4 linked regions of the Oryctolagus cuniculus genome follow. The protein of the gene in region 1 interacts with the protein of each later gene in a biochemical or structural test. Links are inferred from orthologs where the notes say so. Each region holds a gene or a part of one and is shown in the gene's direction. Other genes may lie near its edges.

Region 1 (3,500 bases):
GCTTGGGAAAAACTTGCACCTTGTGGGATGTCCTAGGAGGTGGAGAGAGACCACTAGGAGGACACGGCAGCATTTCCTTCGCAGGTCAGAGGTTCAGGCAGACCTGGTGAACCTGTCAGCAAGACTCTGAGCGGGCCGCCTGGAGCTCCACGTGTGTTTCTTCTTCCCTGCTCAATCCCAGGCCCTGGTCCTGCCGCGCTGTCTCCCTGGGATTTTATTTCTCCGCCCCTCTTCCTGTGCTCACAGCACCTGTCCTGATCTGGCCCCCACCCTCTCCCAGTGGTAGCCCAAGAGCCATCGGCTCTCTTCCTGCTTCCAGCCACTTGCCGTGGCTCTTGGTCCCTGCATTGTGCCAGAGACCCTGCCCTTCTCCGGCACAGGCCATGCCGAGCCAGCACCACGCTTGTGCAACAACTGACCGTAGGTGAGCAGCTTCTGCACAGTAGAGAGCTGTTGCTCCAGTCCTGCAGGCTGGGAGGTTTGAGATCGGGATGAGCGCGGGCAGGTGCTGGTCCCTCTTCTAGGTTGCAGGCTGTGATGTGTCCTCACCTGGTGCAAGGGGCAGGGGAGCCCTCTGGGGTCCTTTTTATAAGAGCACTAGTCCCATTCGTGACCAGACCGGACACTCCCAGAGGCCCTTCCTGCGAATACCATCACTTTGGGGTTAGGATGTCTGCATCCAGCTCTTTGGAGAGACACAGACATCAGACCCTGGCAACCCCCAGTACCTGTGTGGCACTGCTGTGTTACCTGTAGAATGATCTGAGCTGTCTCACCTGGCACCTGTGCCCCAGTCACCTTCCCCGCTTATCTCCATCCCCAGGGCCTGTCCTCTGGCTCCACCTGCTCTGAAATTGGCCTGTGGCATTTCCTTAGCTTGGAAAATATGCCCACCTCCTAGTCCTTGCTTCTCATTTCTTAAAGCCTGACTCAGAATCTTCCCTGAAGCCCCCAGAGTCACCTGCCTTACCCTCTGTTGGCTTGCCAGTGGCCTCCACTGGTCTCGGACCCAGTTTTCTCTGCTTGACCTCAGCCTTGCCCTGGTCACCTCGCATGGTGCCTGCTTCAGTGGATATCGAGTGGCTTGGGCCATCCTGGGAAGTAGGGCTGGCATAGTGGGGCAGCTTCAAGGGACCTTGGGAAGGCTAAAGGGGCAGATGGCTGCAGGAGTCTGTCTGCCCTGCTGAGTGATAGCAGCACTTAAGAGTACCCTGAGCCTGGCTTGCTAGGCCCGGGGTGTCCTCCTGGGGTTGCCATAGATGGTGTTCATACATGTTCTGACCTGGGAGCCTCAGAAGATTGTTGTTAAAGGGTGTGGCTGGCCCAGGAAGCCTGCTCCACCTTGGTGATTTAAGGTGGATATTTGAACGCCTAGCTTGATTGGGACTGTCTGTGGGGTGACAGAGAGGGTGCCAGTCCTGGGTAGGACCCAGGGCTCAAGCAGCGGGGACTATTGCCACAGAACGTGTTGCAGATGCACTCCACTCCTGTGTATGTTCAGGACTCACTGTCAGCTCTTGGGCTGCTCTGCCCAGGCACACCATTTCCCTCTGCGTGTCCCCCTCCATCAGGTGGAGCCAGCCCCCTCATCACAACCTCTCAGAGATCCTGCTGGCTTTAAGAAGTGTTAGAAAACTTCAGAGGAGGGCTGTGCCTTGTGACCCAGCTCCCCACCCACTCTTCCTGGCCCAGAGCTCCAGAGCCGTTCCTGGAGGAGGCCCTGGGTGCACTGGTGCCTCTTGCTGTCATTCCTGTGCCTTTTTTGGGGAGATCCAGACAGACATGTGCCAGCCTTGAAGTACAGCTGGGCTCAACCCCATGGTTTCTAAAAGCAGACAGACGAAGCTATTTCCAGATCCCAACTCTGCCCCTTTCTACTGGGTGGCCTTAGCCAAGTTATTTGGTTTCTGCTTTCCCATTTTGAAGAAAGGGGGTAAGAATGGCTGCCTGGTACACTTGGAAGTTTTAAAGGAGATGACGTCTAGATAAAGTACTTAGCACAGTGCCTGCACTGGTTTCCCTTCCCTTCTGCTCTTTGAGGGCCAGGGGCAGAATCCTGTGTTCACTTGTGCTCCCCACCCCTTGCTCAGCCTCCCTGACTGCTGGGGAGGGGAGCATGGTTGCAGGGGCCTGGGATTCAGTGTCTGCAAAGGGAAGGGGGGTCTATGGGTGGATGTGAGGGGTTGGGCAGAGGCTGCCCCCGTCTTCTCAGGCTATTCCAAACTCAGCTACAAATGGGACTGATGTGGTGAGACCCAGACTGCCCATTGGCTGTCTACCTTGCTGGGCTGAGAAGGCAGCAAGGTGTATCATACAGTCCTCTCTCTTCACCCCCAGCTGCCGCCAGAAACTCCCTGGTTCTATACCTAGTCACGATGACCTGGCACCCAGTCCGCTGTGGGCTGATTGATAGGCGCTAGGCCTGACCACCTTTTCTGCTTTGTGTCCCTTGCCCAGGGGATAGTGGTGTGGGGCTAAGCACAAGTGACATAGCCAGGAAGCCAGCAGACATGGCCAAAGAACTGGAATCCAGTATGGTGGGCAAGGAGCTACCATCTAGGACTTGGGCTCCTGTGTTGCTAGAGCCAAGAAGGCCATGGCTCAGAGCAGCCAAAGAGAACATCCTACTTGTAGAAGGCACCAAAATGACATCCTTATTTGTTGAATGAATGGGCCTTTCAGATTCCTGCTTTAGCGAATGGAGAAGTAGCTGAAAGCCTAGGGTCTATAGCAGGTCTTAGGAAAGAATTCAAATCCAGGCAGCTGGCTGTATATCCGAGATATTCCCACTTGGAAACTCCATGGATCATTGCACAAGTTACTCAGTTTCTATGTGCTTCAGACTCCTTATATGAAGGGTGAGGTGAGTACAGCCTACCTTTTGGAATTGTGGTTTAGAATGAGTTACGTTAGAACGATGCCAAGCCTCTGTCTTCCTCATCATTGTTTTTCCTCTTCCACTCCTGCTGCAGATTCTGCAGAGCCCCTCTGCACTGTGTCCTTAGTACCCTGCCTTCTGCATAGCACCCAGCTCTACTGCAGAGGCAGGTTGGCCGCTGTGATGTATTTGCTTAACAGCTTTCTCCCTCTAGACTTTAGGTTCCGCCTGATGCCACGTGAGTGACTCGACTGTACAGCCCTGACGCCACGTGGGTGACTCGGCTGCCTCCGGATTTGCTCCTGAGCCTGGGCACCTGGGGGTGCTAGTCCTGAGGCTGGTTCTCCCTGTGCCCTGAATGGGTTGATGGTGGCCTTGTGTGTCCACCTCCTGAGGCTCTTCCTTCTGCTGTCTTCCCAGGCACAGACATGGCCGTCTTCTGTCTGCTGTGTGGGAAGCGCTTCCAGGCACAGAGCGCGCTCCAGCAGCACATGGAGGTCCACGCAGGCGTGCGTAGCTACATCTGCAGCGAGTGCAACCGCACCTTCCCCAGCCACACGGCCCTGAAACGCCACCTGCGCTCACACACAGGTAGGCCCATCCAGGTGGTGGGTGGGGGTCT
Region 2 (4,116 bases), on another chromosome or scaffold:
CCTGGCCTAGGGTAGGCAAGGAGTCTAGGAGAAGGGAGAGAAAGAGGGGTCCCAGTGGAATGATCAGCGATGACAGTTGGCAGTATGCACAGACTCCTTTATGAACAGCAGGTGGGGGGAGTCCTCCAAAAGCTCTCCACACGTTTATCATCATTGCTATTGTCCCCATTTGAGAAATGTGGAAACCGAGGCTCAGTGACATTCCATATCTTATCCAAGGTCATTGAGGAAGCAGCAAGGGCAGGATGCAAAAGCCAAGTCTGTAGTGATTCCAGTGCACCGGGGAATCCTAGGACGGTGGAGGGTTGCTGGGGCAAGGGAAGAGGGCAGAGCCAGAGTGACCCCTGTAAAGATGGGGGTGGGGGAGGGAGAGTGGGATCGACTGCATATAAATAGCAGGCCTGTTTTTATCCCTACACAGGGCTGAATCAGGCCAGGGCTCCATCTGGCACAAGCTGAGAGCTCCGAATGCCAACCCAGCCCTGTGTCAAACAACTCCCTCCCAGCATGTCCCTGGGAGCTGAAATATCTACTGAGAGAGTCATTTCTTTGGGTCAGGACAAGTGACTCCAGAAAACCCCTGTAAAAATATAAGGGCTGGAAGAGAAACACATCAAAATCCTGGCACCTGTTGAACACAGCAGTCTAGGTTAGCCAGGCCCCGGTCCCAGGGGAACTTTCAAAGGAGTGGGTGGGGGTGGGGATGCAGAAGTATGGGGAAACCGCGAGAAAAAGTTTGAAGCTGGCTTTCCTGAGCCTGCTGCTGTGACCCAGGGAACAGGTGAGGGGAAGCCACTCCAGCTCCGAGAGAATCTTCACACCTCCTTGGGTTTTGCTGGATTGACACCAAGCACCTGCAACTTTGTGGCTCGCCCCAGCTTGACACCTGCTGGCGTTCAGGCACCTAATGTTTAAATGAGAAGCAGATAATTATTTACTATCTGCTGTGTTAGTAGACCCAAAAATGGGCTTCTGAATCTCGGAAGGTGACACGTGTAGAGACCCCTGGTAGAGAGTAAGGACCGCCCAAGGGAGCAGACCCGGAACAAGAGCTCAGCTCAGCAGTCACAAGGCTGCAGAGCGACAGGCTTTTGGGGAAAGGTAGGTATTGATTCCCGCCTCCTGCCGGCCAACAGCCCTACTCACAGTCAGGCCGCGCCGGCCCTGGCCTGGTCCCCAAAAATGTGAGCGCCGCCGCCGCCTCCTCCTCCTTCGCTCCCTGCCTCCGCCGCGCCCGCAGGGTCGGGGGCTGCGCTGCCGGCGCCGCGAGCCGGGCGCGCTTCCCGGCGAGGGAGGGGGAGGGGGCGGCGCCGGGCGGGGCGGAGCCTGGTTGCCTCCCGGAGCCTTATTCCCGGCCGCGCGCCGGGAGCGCTCAGTCTGCCGAGGGAGCTGCGCGCCGCACGCGGGTGCTCGGCCTGACCTAGGTGCAGCGGCTCGGGCGTACGGACGGAGCGAGCGGACAGACGCACAGCAGCCGGTAGCTGCGCGCGGGTCCCCAGCCGGGTGTGCACCCAGAGGTGGGCGGCAGACTGTACCCCGCGAATCTCCTGCGCCCCTTCGCCTGGCTCCCCTGCTGGCCCCTTGGCCGCCGCCTTCAAAGTGATTGCTGCCTCGCCGCCTCCACTCGGTCCGCGACCATGAAGCTGCTGCCGTCGATGGTGCTGAAGCTCTTTCTGGCTGCAGGTGAGACGGCTGCTGACGCCCCCGGAGGTCGGGGTGGGGGAGGGGGGCGCTGTGCTGGGTGCACGGAGGAAGGTCGCTGCAGCGCCCCCGGCGCGGGCCACTTGGTGGGGCCCGTGCGCCCTGGCGGGCTAGCGAGCGGGCGTGGGCGTCGGTGCGTGGTGGCCCTGAGTCTGGGGTAGGGGTCTGATGCAGCCTCGCCCCTTGCTTGCAGTGCTCTCCGCGTTGGTGACTGGTGACAGCTTGGAACGGCTTCGGAGAGGGTTGGCGACTGGAACCAGCAACCCAGACCCTCCCACTGGAGCTACGGACCAGGACCAGCTGCTAACCCCAGGAGGTGGCTTCGGCCCGGAAGTACCGGACTTGGAAGAGGCAGATCTGTACAGAGGTAGGTGTGGAGGCTGCTGTCCTCTGACCGGCTTGGGCTGATCCGAAATTCTCTCTGTGGGTCGAGGGTATGCAAGGAGGACCCCCGAGGAAAGGCTGATCAGCCTGACGGGAGGACTGGGTGTATCCTGGGGTTCAGGTCTCACTCTGTCTTGTCCTTGGGTCTCACCTGCTAGGTGGCTCCCTACCTTGGGACAAACTGAAACAGGCAACTTGTGCTCTGAGGGAAATTGGATGGTGGGAACTAGGAATGGCTGAGCTGCTGTCCCTAGGGTTCCTGTGTGAAATGGGTGCGAGTCCCAATGCCACTTTAAGATAACACCCCTGGAGGTGCCCAGGCACAGGGCCAATGTGCAGTGTGGGTCCCCTCTGCCTAGGTAGGTCCTCCATCCAAGCTGGGAACACAGAAGGCGATGAGGCGCTCTCGGCCCCTGTAGGTGAGGCCAGCACCTCTGGGGGAGGCTATGGGTGATGGGCACGGGGGTCCCTAGGGAGCTGTTGAAATGCTGGGTGTCTGTGAGGGCTACCCGAAGCCTGGAAACTTCTGACTGCTGTGAGTCCCTACAGAAGGGCCACGTGGGGATCCTGCAACCAGCCTGTGTGGCTGTGACTGGGCACAGGCCCAGAGCAGAGTACAGAGCCTGCCAGCTTCCCTGGCCAGCCACCTGCAGTGATTCCGCAGGGTGGAGCAGGGCCCGGGCCTGGAGCCCCGGAATGACCATATTTGGTTGGAAAGCGTCCCACCTGTTCCAGCCCTGCCTGCTCCTCAGCTGCTGACCTCCCTCCCCACCCGGAGCTTCCTTTGCACGCTCTTTCTGCCTTGTAGAAATCGGAGTGTGCCCCCACGCTGGGCCTGGGCTCCCACTCTCACACTGGCGCTCTGGGGTCACCCATGGCTCTGGATTCTCCTGGCCCTCTTCTAGGCTGGGCAGGGCTGGGCTGTGACTCACCTCCCACCCACACGGCTGCTCCTCATACCTCTGCCGACCTGACTCACTGCTCCCTCTCCCCAGGAGAAGCCTGGCTGTCACCCTGCCACTCTATCTCCACTTTCTGATTGGCTTGGCCCTCTGTGCTTGCTCCCCTGCAAGCCCTGCTCACTGTGTTTCTCTCACTACCTGCCTCATCTTCTGAGCTCTGAAGGGATCCAGGAGTGGGTTAGAGCAAACCAGGGACTGGAGCACCTGCACCTGCTCCTCTGCCTTCTCTTGGTCTTGCTGGGAAGGGACAGTTTGCAGATCTGAAGAGCCAGGCTAAAATAAGTAGCTGCTACCATTTAACAAACGCGTCATGTTCTAGGCACGAGGTGTTAGCTTGGTTGGCTTAACACTCGTTGCAACCTTCTGCAATATTTGACCAAGAACCCCGAGTTACAGACACATCAAGCCACTTGCCCGGGGTTGTATGGCTGAAACCGTAGCACACGTCTGCTGACTTCAGAGCCTGTTCATTCCTGGCTCAACATCTAAGATGCTCTAGACTGGTGGGAGCGTGGCAGGCAACTCAGCCTACTGGGAAAGAACACTGGATGTGAAGTCCAGAGACCACAGTTCAACCCCAGTCCTGCGTGACCTCAGGCAAGTCATTCAACCTTTGGGACCTCAGCATTTTCATCTGAAAGCAGAAGGCCATGATATTCTTCGAAGTCCCTTCCAGCTTGAGGATGCTAGAGGTCCAGTCTAACGATCATGCGTACTCTTCTGCTAGATGCATGGCCGTAACCATGAATGTGGGCACGGTTTCCCTGCTGGGAATGGGTAGGCAGGGCTGGTGTCTTATCCCTGGGCGTGGCCCATGGCCAGTCCCAGCTGGATGTCTGGGTGAGGTTGTATTTCTCATTGAAGCCTGGAAAAATTGCTGGTGGGGTGGGGTGGGGTGGGCTGGAGCAGTCATCATCATTCTAGTTCTTTCTACTTCCTTATTTTCCGTCTCTTGACCCCTTATACACATTGTGTCCCCCTTCCCAGAGGGTTCTAAGTAGGACATTTGGGGCTAGATGTAAATGGATCTTTGAGAAAGTAGGTGAGCTGTAAAGGGCACAGAGCAAGG
Region 3 (4,080 bases), on another chromosome or scaffold:
CCGTGTCCTTGGCTGGCCAGCTTCTCCCAGGCTCTGACAGGAGGGTGAGGTCATTCAGTCCAGAGACAGGTGTCCCTGGCTCCATGCCTGGAGTAGGGGGCAAGGAGGGGCCAGGAGAGGGCTCCAAAATAGCAACTGTGACATCAGGAAGGGGGAGGGGGATAGAGACCCAGGAATAACCAGGCTATTAAAAGGCTCCAGTGAGGTCAGGAGGCCAAGTGGGATCTCTACACTAGTGGGAGGTGTAAGCTGGGGAGGTGAGGCAGGCCAGCAGTGGCGAGGGCAGGCCCATGGCCCCAGGTCCCAGCAGGGTCCAAGTAACAGGGGCTGCTCTGCCAGCCCGAGGCTGGTTGAGGGGGGACTCTTCACTCTTCCTGGAGGGCTCCAACCTCAAATCATTTCCTCCTTGGGTGTGGGGATCATCGGACCTGTTCCGGGAAACCCAGGGCCAGCTACGTGCATTAACTTGCATGGGAGGCAGTGCAGTGTGGTGGTTAGAGCTCAGCTTTGCACCCCGGATGTCCCAGCCCCCTGTGTAAGCAGCTATGTGACCTAGGATGAGTGACTTCATTGCTCTGGGCCTCGGTTTCCCTACCTGTACCTCACTCCCGAGGTCATCATGCAGGATAAATTAGGTGATGTGTATGATGCTCCCAGCAGCGCACGCGACATGCTGCCAGGGAAGTGCTTCCTGTGCTCTGAGAACTGGCAGCTGCTGTCTGGTCCCCGTCCCCTTTCCTGGCCTGGACTGAGGCCTGCCCAATACGAGGCTCCCTGCCCCCTGGGAGGCAGCCCCTGGAGGCCAGCACTGCAGAGAGGACCGGAGGGAGCTGCCATTGAGTGTCTGGCTGTCCAGGGGGCTCCCTGCTGGTTGAGGGGGTGGGGAGGGCAAAAGTTAAACAAATCCCCAGGCAGCTGTTGAGAGAACTCCAGGCAAGGTGCAAGGTTAGGCCAGGTGGCCGGGTGTCTGCCAGTCTCTCCCAGCCCCTTCCATTTCTTTTCCTGCTTTGGGTGGCAGGACCAGACCAAGTCTGACTTCTTGATCGAGCCCCTTGCTCCCAGCCCACGCCCGAGTACCCTGGCCTTGGCCCTGAGTGCAGGCTCTCCCCCGCTCCCATCCCCCTCGCCTGGCGCTTCCTCCTGGGGTGGAACGCGCCTCCCCCATGGGGCCTCCGCCAGGCCGGGCTCCTGGCAGCCGGCCGGCGGCTCCCTGAGCATGCTCCACCTATTTATAGACAGGGCCCTCCCCCAACTGCTATTTCAGTCTCCTGCCAGCTGCCGGCGGCTCATTCGGGAAGGAGGAGCAGGGAGCCAGGCCCAGAGCTGTCACCCGGGGCTGGGAGGGAACACAGAGAGCCCGTCTGCCCAACGAGCTCCTCTTCCTGTCCCCTGAGTGCTCAGCCAGACCCCAGCTCCTGGGAACTGAGGACGCGCCAGTGGTCGGCGCCCCTCTGGGGAGAGCTAGGCCACGGTTCCAGGGCCCCGGGGCCCCTCCTGCCCCTGCCACCACTAGGAGCGCCCAGGCCGGATGAGGCGCCTCCCCACAGTGCGGGTCCCGGCAGCCGTGGCCTCAGGGAGCCCCTGAGCAGTGCAGACCGCACCCGGCACCTTCCCCGCATCGGCTCCCCGCCTCAGGCGGCCCCTCCCTGGCATGCTGCTGGTGCCCAAGGCGCAGGGGCTGGTGGAGATGCTGCAGACCATCTACGAGACGGAATCCTGTTTCTCAGCAGATGGCATGTCAGGCCGGGAACCAGCCCTGGAGATCCTGCCCCGGACTCCTCTGCACAGCATCCCCGTGGCAGGTGAGTGCCTCGGCGCCCTCCTTGGGCTCTGTTCTTGGGCATCCTGGTCCCTGAGGCAGAGCAGCTGGCTCTGAGCCCTGCCCAGGTGGGCTCCTGCTTCAGGCTCTCTCGAGGGTGGCGGTGAGCATCCGTGGGGCTCGGCAGGGGGCAGGGCAGGGTGCTCACAGGTGGCTGCCTTCCCCCGGGCCACGCAGCTGCACCACGCTGCATCCCTCCCGTCCCTTTGGCTTCCGGCAGGGTCTGTCCCAGCTGCTGGGGGCTGGGGATTACTTGAGGCTCCTGGCCTAGTTGGCACCACGGTCAAGGGGGAGGAAGTGGGCCAGAGACCTGGCTCCAGGCTGCCTGCTCCCCAGCTTGGGGCAGGGGAAGACGCTGAAGCGACCCAGCTGCTTCGGCTGGTTTGTGCTGGGTAGAGGGTCGAGTGCAGTGATTTCAGCAGGTCCCCAGTCAGGCGGCGTCTGAGGATCGGACACTGTGGGGGAGATGCTGTGTGGTTGTGGGGGGTTCCACAGAGGCTGGCGGTTGGCGTGCGGGGGGCGCGGCTGCCCCGGCTCCCGGCTCCCCCATGTCTCCCCTCTCCCCGGGCCTGGCCTCAGCCCCACCTCTCTAGGATGCAGAGGCATTGCTCTGGCTCAGATGGGCTTCCGGACCCCCAGCCCTGGCTGCAGGATGGCCCCTTCCCCGGCTGCCTTCGCAGCAGCAATGCTTTCAGCCCTTGGCTGGGGGTGGGGTCCCCCAGAGCCGGGCCACTCCTTCCCTCACTCCCAGGAACCTGTTGGCAGCATCAGGCCTTGCTGGCACAGCCTCCCCACCAGGCCGGCACCACAGGATGCTTCCTCCAGGGAGGAGCCTGCTGGACCCACGCCCACCTGCCCCTCCTGGCAGTGGCTTGGCACTGTGTGTGTGTGTGTGTGTGCGCGCGCGCGCCCGTGCATAGGGAGTCCTTGCCTCTGGTTACGTGGGTGTGGATCCCAAGCTTCGAGTTAGAAGGTGGGAAGTGTGTGCCTCTGCAGGTTCCTGTGGCTCAGGGCTGGCTAGGGAGAAGGTTACAATGGAACTGGGATGTGTCAGAGGATGAATGTTTTGGGAAGGGTTTGGAAAAGCCTTGGCACATGGCCTGCCACCTGCCTGGGCAGGGATTTCCGTGCGGCATCCTAGCGTGGGGGCACAGCGTGGAGACCAGCCCTGCAGGGTCCATGCAGGCCCCTGGGACTAGGTGGGCGTCCACAGAGGCGCTCACTCGTGCCTACCCAGTTCTGAGCTTGAGCTAAGGACCTTTCTGGCTGGCTTTCAGCCTCTGCGACTCCAGGCAGTCTCTTGCAAAGCAAAATGAACAGTCGCCCAGAGCATCTGCTGGGGGCAGCTCTACCGGCGGCCACACCAGCCAGCCCATCCCACCCCGCCCCTGCTGCTCGGTAGCCTACAAGCTGCAGCCAGCTCGGGCCCAGGGTTCCTCTTCACATTTCGAGGTAGACCCCAGGAACCTCGCAGGCCACAACCCTGCTCCCCCAGCCCTTCGCTAAGCCCACCTGCCCTGGCCCCCCCGCCCCCGCCGCTGCCCGGCCTGCTGCGTGGTGGCATGGTCCATGCTGGCAGGGGAGAGGCGTGAGTCACCTCAGCAGCTCGGGGAGAGGCCGAGGAATGTTCCCCCTGCGCGGCTCTGATGCTGTGTCTGTGACGCGGCTCGGGACAGATATAGGCCTGGAGCTCGGCGGCCTTGTTTTTTTTTTGGACTCTGGAATGTAAATAGACGTTTCAAATAGAAACACTTTAACCTTTGGGTTAAAAAAAAAATCCTCCCTGGATAAACATGGCCATGAGGGCCCAGTCAGCCTGGTGATTCCCTCCCCACCCCAGCCCCTCCCCCGCCTCCCGGTCCCCCTCCTGATCCCTCTGCAGCCGGGATGCAGGGATGCGCTTTGGGGCTGAACGTGTCGCACAGGCGTCCCTAGCCCAAGGGGTTGGGACGAGGGGCTCTTCAGGGTGGTGGCAGCTGCTACCTCTAGCAGCAAGTCGCAGGAACCCTGTCTGGGGGGCGGCCTTCTTCTTTGGGGAGTCTTGCTCACTGCCATTGCCCTGCGGCTACCATAGTGCCCGGCCCTGGGATGAATGAATGTTACAGGAAGGGCTGGGGTTGCTGGCCAGGGGCTCGGCCCTCTGGGTGAATAGCCAGCTCCAGTGTGTCGCCCCAGCAGCTGAGCCGTGGAGCCTGGGGCTCTGCTGTTGTTGCTTCAGGGGCCTGGGGTGTGGGAGGTGAATCTTGGCGTCCACCCGTGGT
Region 4 (4,168 bases), on another chromosome or scaffold:
CTGAGCCTGGAGCCTGGAGCCTGGAGCCTGAGCCTGAGCCTGGAGCCTGAGCCTGAACCTGGAGCCTGGAGCCTGAGCCTGAGCCTGAGCCTGGAGCCTGAGCCTGAGCCTGAGCCTGAGCCTGAGCCTGGAGCCTGAGCCTGAGCCTGAGCCTGAGCCTGGAGCCTGAGCCTGAGCCTGAGCCTGAGCCTGGAGCCTGAGCCTGAGCCTGAGCCTGAGCCTGAGCCTGAACGTGAGCCTGGAGCCTGAACCTGAGCCTGAGCCTGAACGTGAGCCTGGAGCCTGAGCCTGGAGCCTGAGCCTGAGCCTGGAGCCTGAGCCTGGAGCCTGAGCCTGAGCCTGAACCTGGAGACTGAGCCTGAGCCTGGAGCCTGAGCCTGGAGCCTGAGCCTGAGCCTGAACCTGGAGACTGAGCCTGAGCCTGGAGCCTGAGCCTGAGCCTGGAGCCTGAGCCTGGAGCCTGAGCCTGAGCCTGAGCCTGGAGCCTGAGCCTGAGCCTGGAGCCTGAGCCTGGAGCCTGAGCCTGAGCCTGAACCTGGAGACTGAGCCTGAGCCTGGAGCCTGGAGCCTGAGCCTGGAGCCTGGAGCCCGCCCCCGGCCCCGGCAGTCAGGGACGCGGGGATGGCCCACAGCTGGCCGCTGGCACGCCGGGCCTTGCCCAGTCTGTAGTAATGAGAAGCGGCTTCGGCGCTCAGCTCTGTTTGCACAGTCCCCCCAGGGATGGCGGCCTGGATGGCCCGCTCACCGGTCAGACTTCCTGTGGTTCGGTGGTTTGCTTCTGAGTGCTAGCTGCTTCCGAAGCCCCTAAGTTGTTCGCCAACCACATGCTCTCCCCACTGTGGAGGGGACAAAGACAGAAATTTCCCAGATGTCTCCAAGTCAGGGCTGGGCCAGGCTGAAGCCAGCGGTCACTCAATCTGGGTCTCCCACGTGGGTATCGGGAACCCAGCCATCTGAGCCGTCTCCTGGTGCCTCCCGGGGTACCTGTTAGCAGGAAGCTGGGGTGCAGAGTGGAGCTGACTCAGCCAGTGCCCCCACGCGGGATGCGGTGTCCCAAGCCGTGGTTTAACTGCTGTGCCAAGCACCCAGCCCTGGAGGGGACATCTTGACCAGAGAGGCCAGGCGTGGGAGGGAGCCCCGGCCCTGCTGTCACAGCAGAGCCCGGGGTGGGGGGTGGGCATGTTTGGGGTGACCCCGTCTCCCTAGGCAAGCTCCGGAGGGGCAGGAGGGGTGGGGGTGGCCGCTTCCCCGGGGAGGCTCCCGATCGCCCCTCCTGTTGGCTGTGGGTCTCCCAGGCTCCCGCGACTCAGGCTGCTGTGGCCGCGTTGCTGCCTGTCTTCAAAGACGAACCTCCGTCAGGCCGCAGGCGAGCGCTTGCCTCAGCCGTGAGCGTGGGGTGTGAGGAGGGCAGGAGCAGGGCGCTTGCCCGGCGCGCGTTTGCTGCCAGTGCTGCGTGAGCCTGCCCTGGCGTGGCTGGGCCGGAACGTAAACAGTGTGCTGCGCAAGCCGCCAGCCGAGCCTCTCGTGGCGATCCCGTGTATCATCTGTCTGTTATGTAATGTGACAACATGGAGGTGAAATGGAAACCAGATGTCAGGGCGGGGCCGAGGGAGCCGTCCTCAGCCAGCGCCCGGGAGCAGGCAGGGCCTGGGCCGCCGCCCCGTGAAACCATCGAATGCCCTCGGAGGAGCGACTGCTGACGGGTCTCTGGGCACGAGCAGAAGTCCTGCCTGAAGGTAAAGTGCCGGTGGGCTAGGAGTGCCTCTGCGGGCAGACACGCGTCCCGGGGTTCCGGCGCGCTGCGGCCTGGTGACTTGTTAGCGGACCCGGGTTAGAATGCTGGGGCCGAGGGCTCTGGCCACCGCCCTTGGCCTGCGAGATGCCTCCAAAGGGCTCCGGATTAGGAGTGAAGGGGGGAGGTGTGGTTGGTCAGGGACTGGCTGTGTGGCCGGGGCCAGTGAGCGCTTACTGAGGGCTGGCTGCTCCACACTCGGGGCCCTAAAGAGGCAGCTCGCGGGCAGCAGAGGCCTCCGTGCTGTGCTGGGGGCCGAGCCCTGCCCCGCGCAGAGGTGGGCGCTGGGTGCCCTTGGGGAGTGAAAGGCACACCCCGTCCGTCAGAAGTGTGGTCTCCCTGGCTGGAAGCCGCCGTGGCCTCGGGTGAAGGCTGCGTGTTTCACTCGGACCAGAACCAGAGGCGTCTCCGCTGCTCTTTCCGTTCGGTCACGGATCTGCTGGGGAAAGCTGCGGCTTCCTCGCTGTGCTAAGGAGACGCTGGAGCGGAGCTCGGGGTGTGGCCGGGCCCCTCACCCTGGTTGGTTAAAGCTATGGAAGTGTTGCTTTCTCACTAGGAAGGGCTGTGGCCGGAAGCCACACAGGCGATCCCGCGTCCCGGGTCACCAGAGCCTGTGTCGGAGGTAGAAGGGGATCCCGGCTCCTTCCCGTCCCAAGGGCGGGGCTCTGTGCCGGGCTCTCCCGCTCACCGTGTCTGTGGGCCGTGGCTCCTGTGCAGGGGAGCGTTTCCTGGGTGCTGGGCCTGGCGAGATGTGTTCACGCAGCTTCGTCGTTTTAAAACACACCTGAGGGAGCAGAGAGGCTGGGGGGCCACGCCATGCTGTGCGGGAGGGGGCTGCAGCTGGGTCCTGGCTGTGCAGATGTCAGGAATCCCAGTGCTGTAGGGACAGGCGTGCGTGACGGTTCTGGGCGCTTCGGGCCGCAGCGTCTGGAAAGAAGTGGAGAACGCTCACCGGCCTCGCTCCGCTTCACCCGTTCTAAGAGGAAGCTGAGGAGGGGCCGTCGCGGCCGTGCTCGCCTAGAACCGGTGTGGCCGTCAGACAGTTACGCGAGCGAGTGCCCCGTCCGTGTTGGGAAGTGGACTTGGGGTGCTCAGTGAGCTGCCGGGGCGGGCCGCAGCAGTGCCCGTGTTTCCTGCGCAAGGACGGGGTGGGGGGGACATGCCTTTCTGCTCGCGGAGCACCCCTGCCCTGCGGGCTCCTGGCCAGCAGTGGGGACCTGGTTGTGACCACCTGGCCCCCGAGGTCTTGGGGCTCCCACCCTTGGAGGCTCCTCTCCCGCCTCCCTGCTTGGGCTGTAGGGCCTCACCAGGAGGCAGGCTCTTCAGTGTTTCATTTCTAAATATAGCCCCTGCTTCTGTTTTTAAAAATAGTTCATGCTTCCCGGAGGATCCTGGACACAGTTCCCATCCATCCCAGGGTGGCTGTTGGAACGTGGAGCCCACCCTGGGGCTCGGGGCGTTGTGCCCAAGCTCTCCTCCTGTCTTTCCAGACAAGGTGCAGGCCCAGTTGAGCATGGACGTCCTGAGGGCTCTACCCCCGGGGGTCGATGGAGTGTCTGAGGCCCAGGAGATGCTGGGATGGCACAGCCCAACCTGGCCAGCCCCTGGGGCCCCCACTCCTCCCTGACTCTCCAGACCCGGGGCATGGAGCTTCCCCAGGGAGGTGGACACAGGTGCAGCCCCCCCGCCCCCGCATCCCCATATACCCTGGACATCCCTACGGGTTCCTGTGGTCTCTTTGGAAAGTTTTCTCCACCAGTGGTGTCCTGGCCTAGGGGTAAGTGGGAAGTGGGGCTGTGGCTGCCTGGTGATTTGCTGGGGACATTGGGGAAGGGTCTTGCCTTGGCTATTTATTTATTTATTTATTTGAAAGGCAGAGTTACAGAGAGGGAGAGATGGAAGACAGAGAGAGAGAGAGAAAGAGAAAGAGAGAGCTTCCATCTGCTGGTTCACTCCCCAAATGCTGCAACAGCCAGGGCAGGGCAGGCTGAAGGCAGGAGCCAGGAGCTTCCTCCAGGTCTCCCACATGAGTGCAGGGGCCCAGGACTATCTTCTGCAGCTTTCTCAGGCTCATAGCAAGAAGCTGGATCAGAAGTGGAACAGCCAGGATTGGAACCAGCACCCACGTGGGATGCTGGCACAGCAGGGAGCAACTTTACCCACTACACCACAGCACCGGCCCCGTCAGTTGGCTCTTACACCACCACTCCTGTGTTACCAGGGCCTGGAGCCTGGGGGCTGTGGTTGAGCAGGTGTCCTGTGGTTTAAGTAAGGAGCCTTTTCCACTTTCGGTTCACATCATGAACATAAGGGGGTTAGGGTGGCTTGGCCCCTGGGGCAGGTGAGAGAGAGCAGCCCCGCCCCCTGGGGCAGGTG

What was found.
Region 2: the proteins of ZBTB16 (region 1) and HBEGF form a complex in vitro, tested with the Homo sapiens proteins (2 studies listed by BioGRID). The link is inferred for Oryctolagus cuniculus from reciprocal best matches to the Homo sapiens genes ZBTB16 and HBEGF.
Region 3: the proteins of ZBTB16 (region 1) and HDAC5 form a complex in vitro, tested with the Homo sapiens proteins (2 studies listed by BioGRID). The link is inferred for Oryctolagus cuniculus from reciprocal best matches to the Homo sapiens genes ZBTB16 and HDAC5.
Region 4: the proteins of ZBTB16 (region 1) and HDAC4 form a complex in vitro, tested with the Homo sapiens proteins (2 studies listed by BioGRID). The link is inferred for Oryctolagus cuniculus from reciprocal best matches to the Homo sapiens genes ZBTB16 and HDAC4.

The regions. Positions count from the first base shown.
Region 1 is NC_091432.1:106,123,740-106,127,239, forward strand, and holds part of ZBTB16 (zinc finger and BTB domain-containing protein 16), read left to right. Parts: intron 1-3,298; coding exon 3,299-3,469; intron 3,470-3,500. UniProt on the Homo sapiens protein: Acts as a transcriptional repressor. Transcriptional repression may be mediated through recruitment of histone deacetylases to target promoters. May play a role in myeloid maturation and in the development and/or maintenance of other differentiated tissues.
Region 2 is NC_091437.1:28,000,317-28,004,432, reverse strand, and holds the start of HBEGF (proheparin-binding EGF-like growth factor), read left to right. Parts: upstream 1-1,316; 5' UTR 1,317-1,637; coding exon 1,638-1,683; intron 1,684-1,894; coding exon 1,895-2,068; intron 2,069-4,116. UniProt on the Homo sapiens protein: Growth factor that mediates its effects via EGFR, ERBB2 and ERBB4. Required for normal cardiac valve formation and normal heart function. Promotes smooth muscle cell proliferation. May be involved in macrophage-mediated cellular proliferation.
Region 3 is NC_091448.1:19,129,351-19,133,430, forward strand, and holds the start of HDAC5 (histone deacetylase 5), read left to right. Parts: upstream 1-1,280; 5' UTR 1,281-1,651; coding exon 1,652-1,802; intron 1,803-4,080. UniProt on the Homo sapiens protein: Responsible for the deacetylation of lysine residues on the N-terminal part of the core histones (H2A, H2B, H3 and H4).
Region 4 is NC_091434.1:1,481,123-1,485,290, forward strand, and holds the start of HDAC4 (histone deacetylase 4), read left to right. Parts: upstream 1-1,368; 5' UTR 1,369-1,675; coding exon 1,676-1,736; intron 1,737-4,168. UniProt on the Homo sapiens protein: Responsible for the deacetylation of lysine residues on the N-terminal part of the core histones (H2A, H2B, H3 and H4).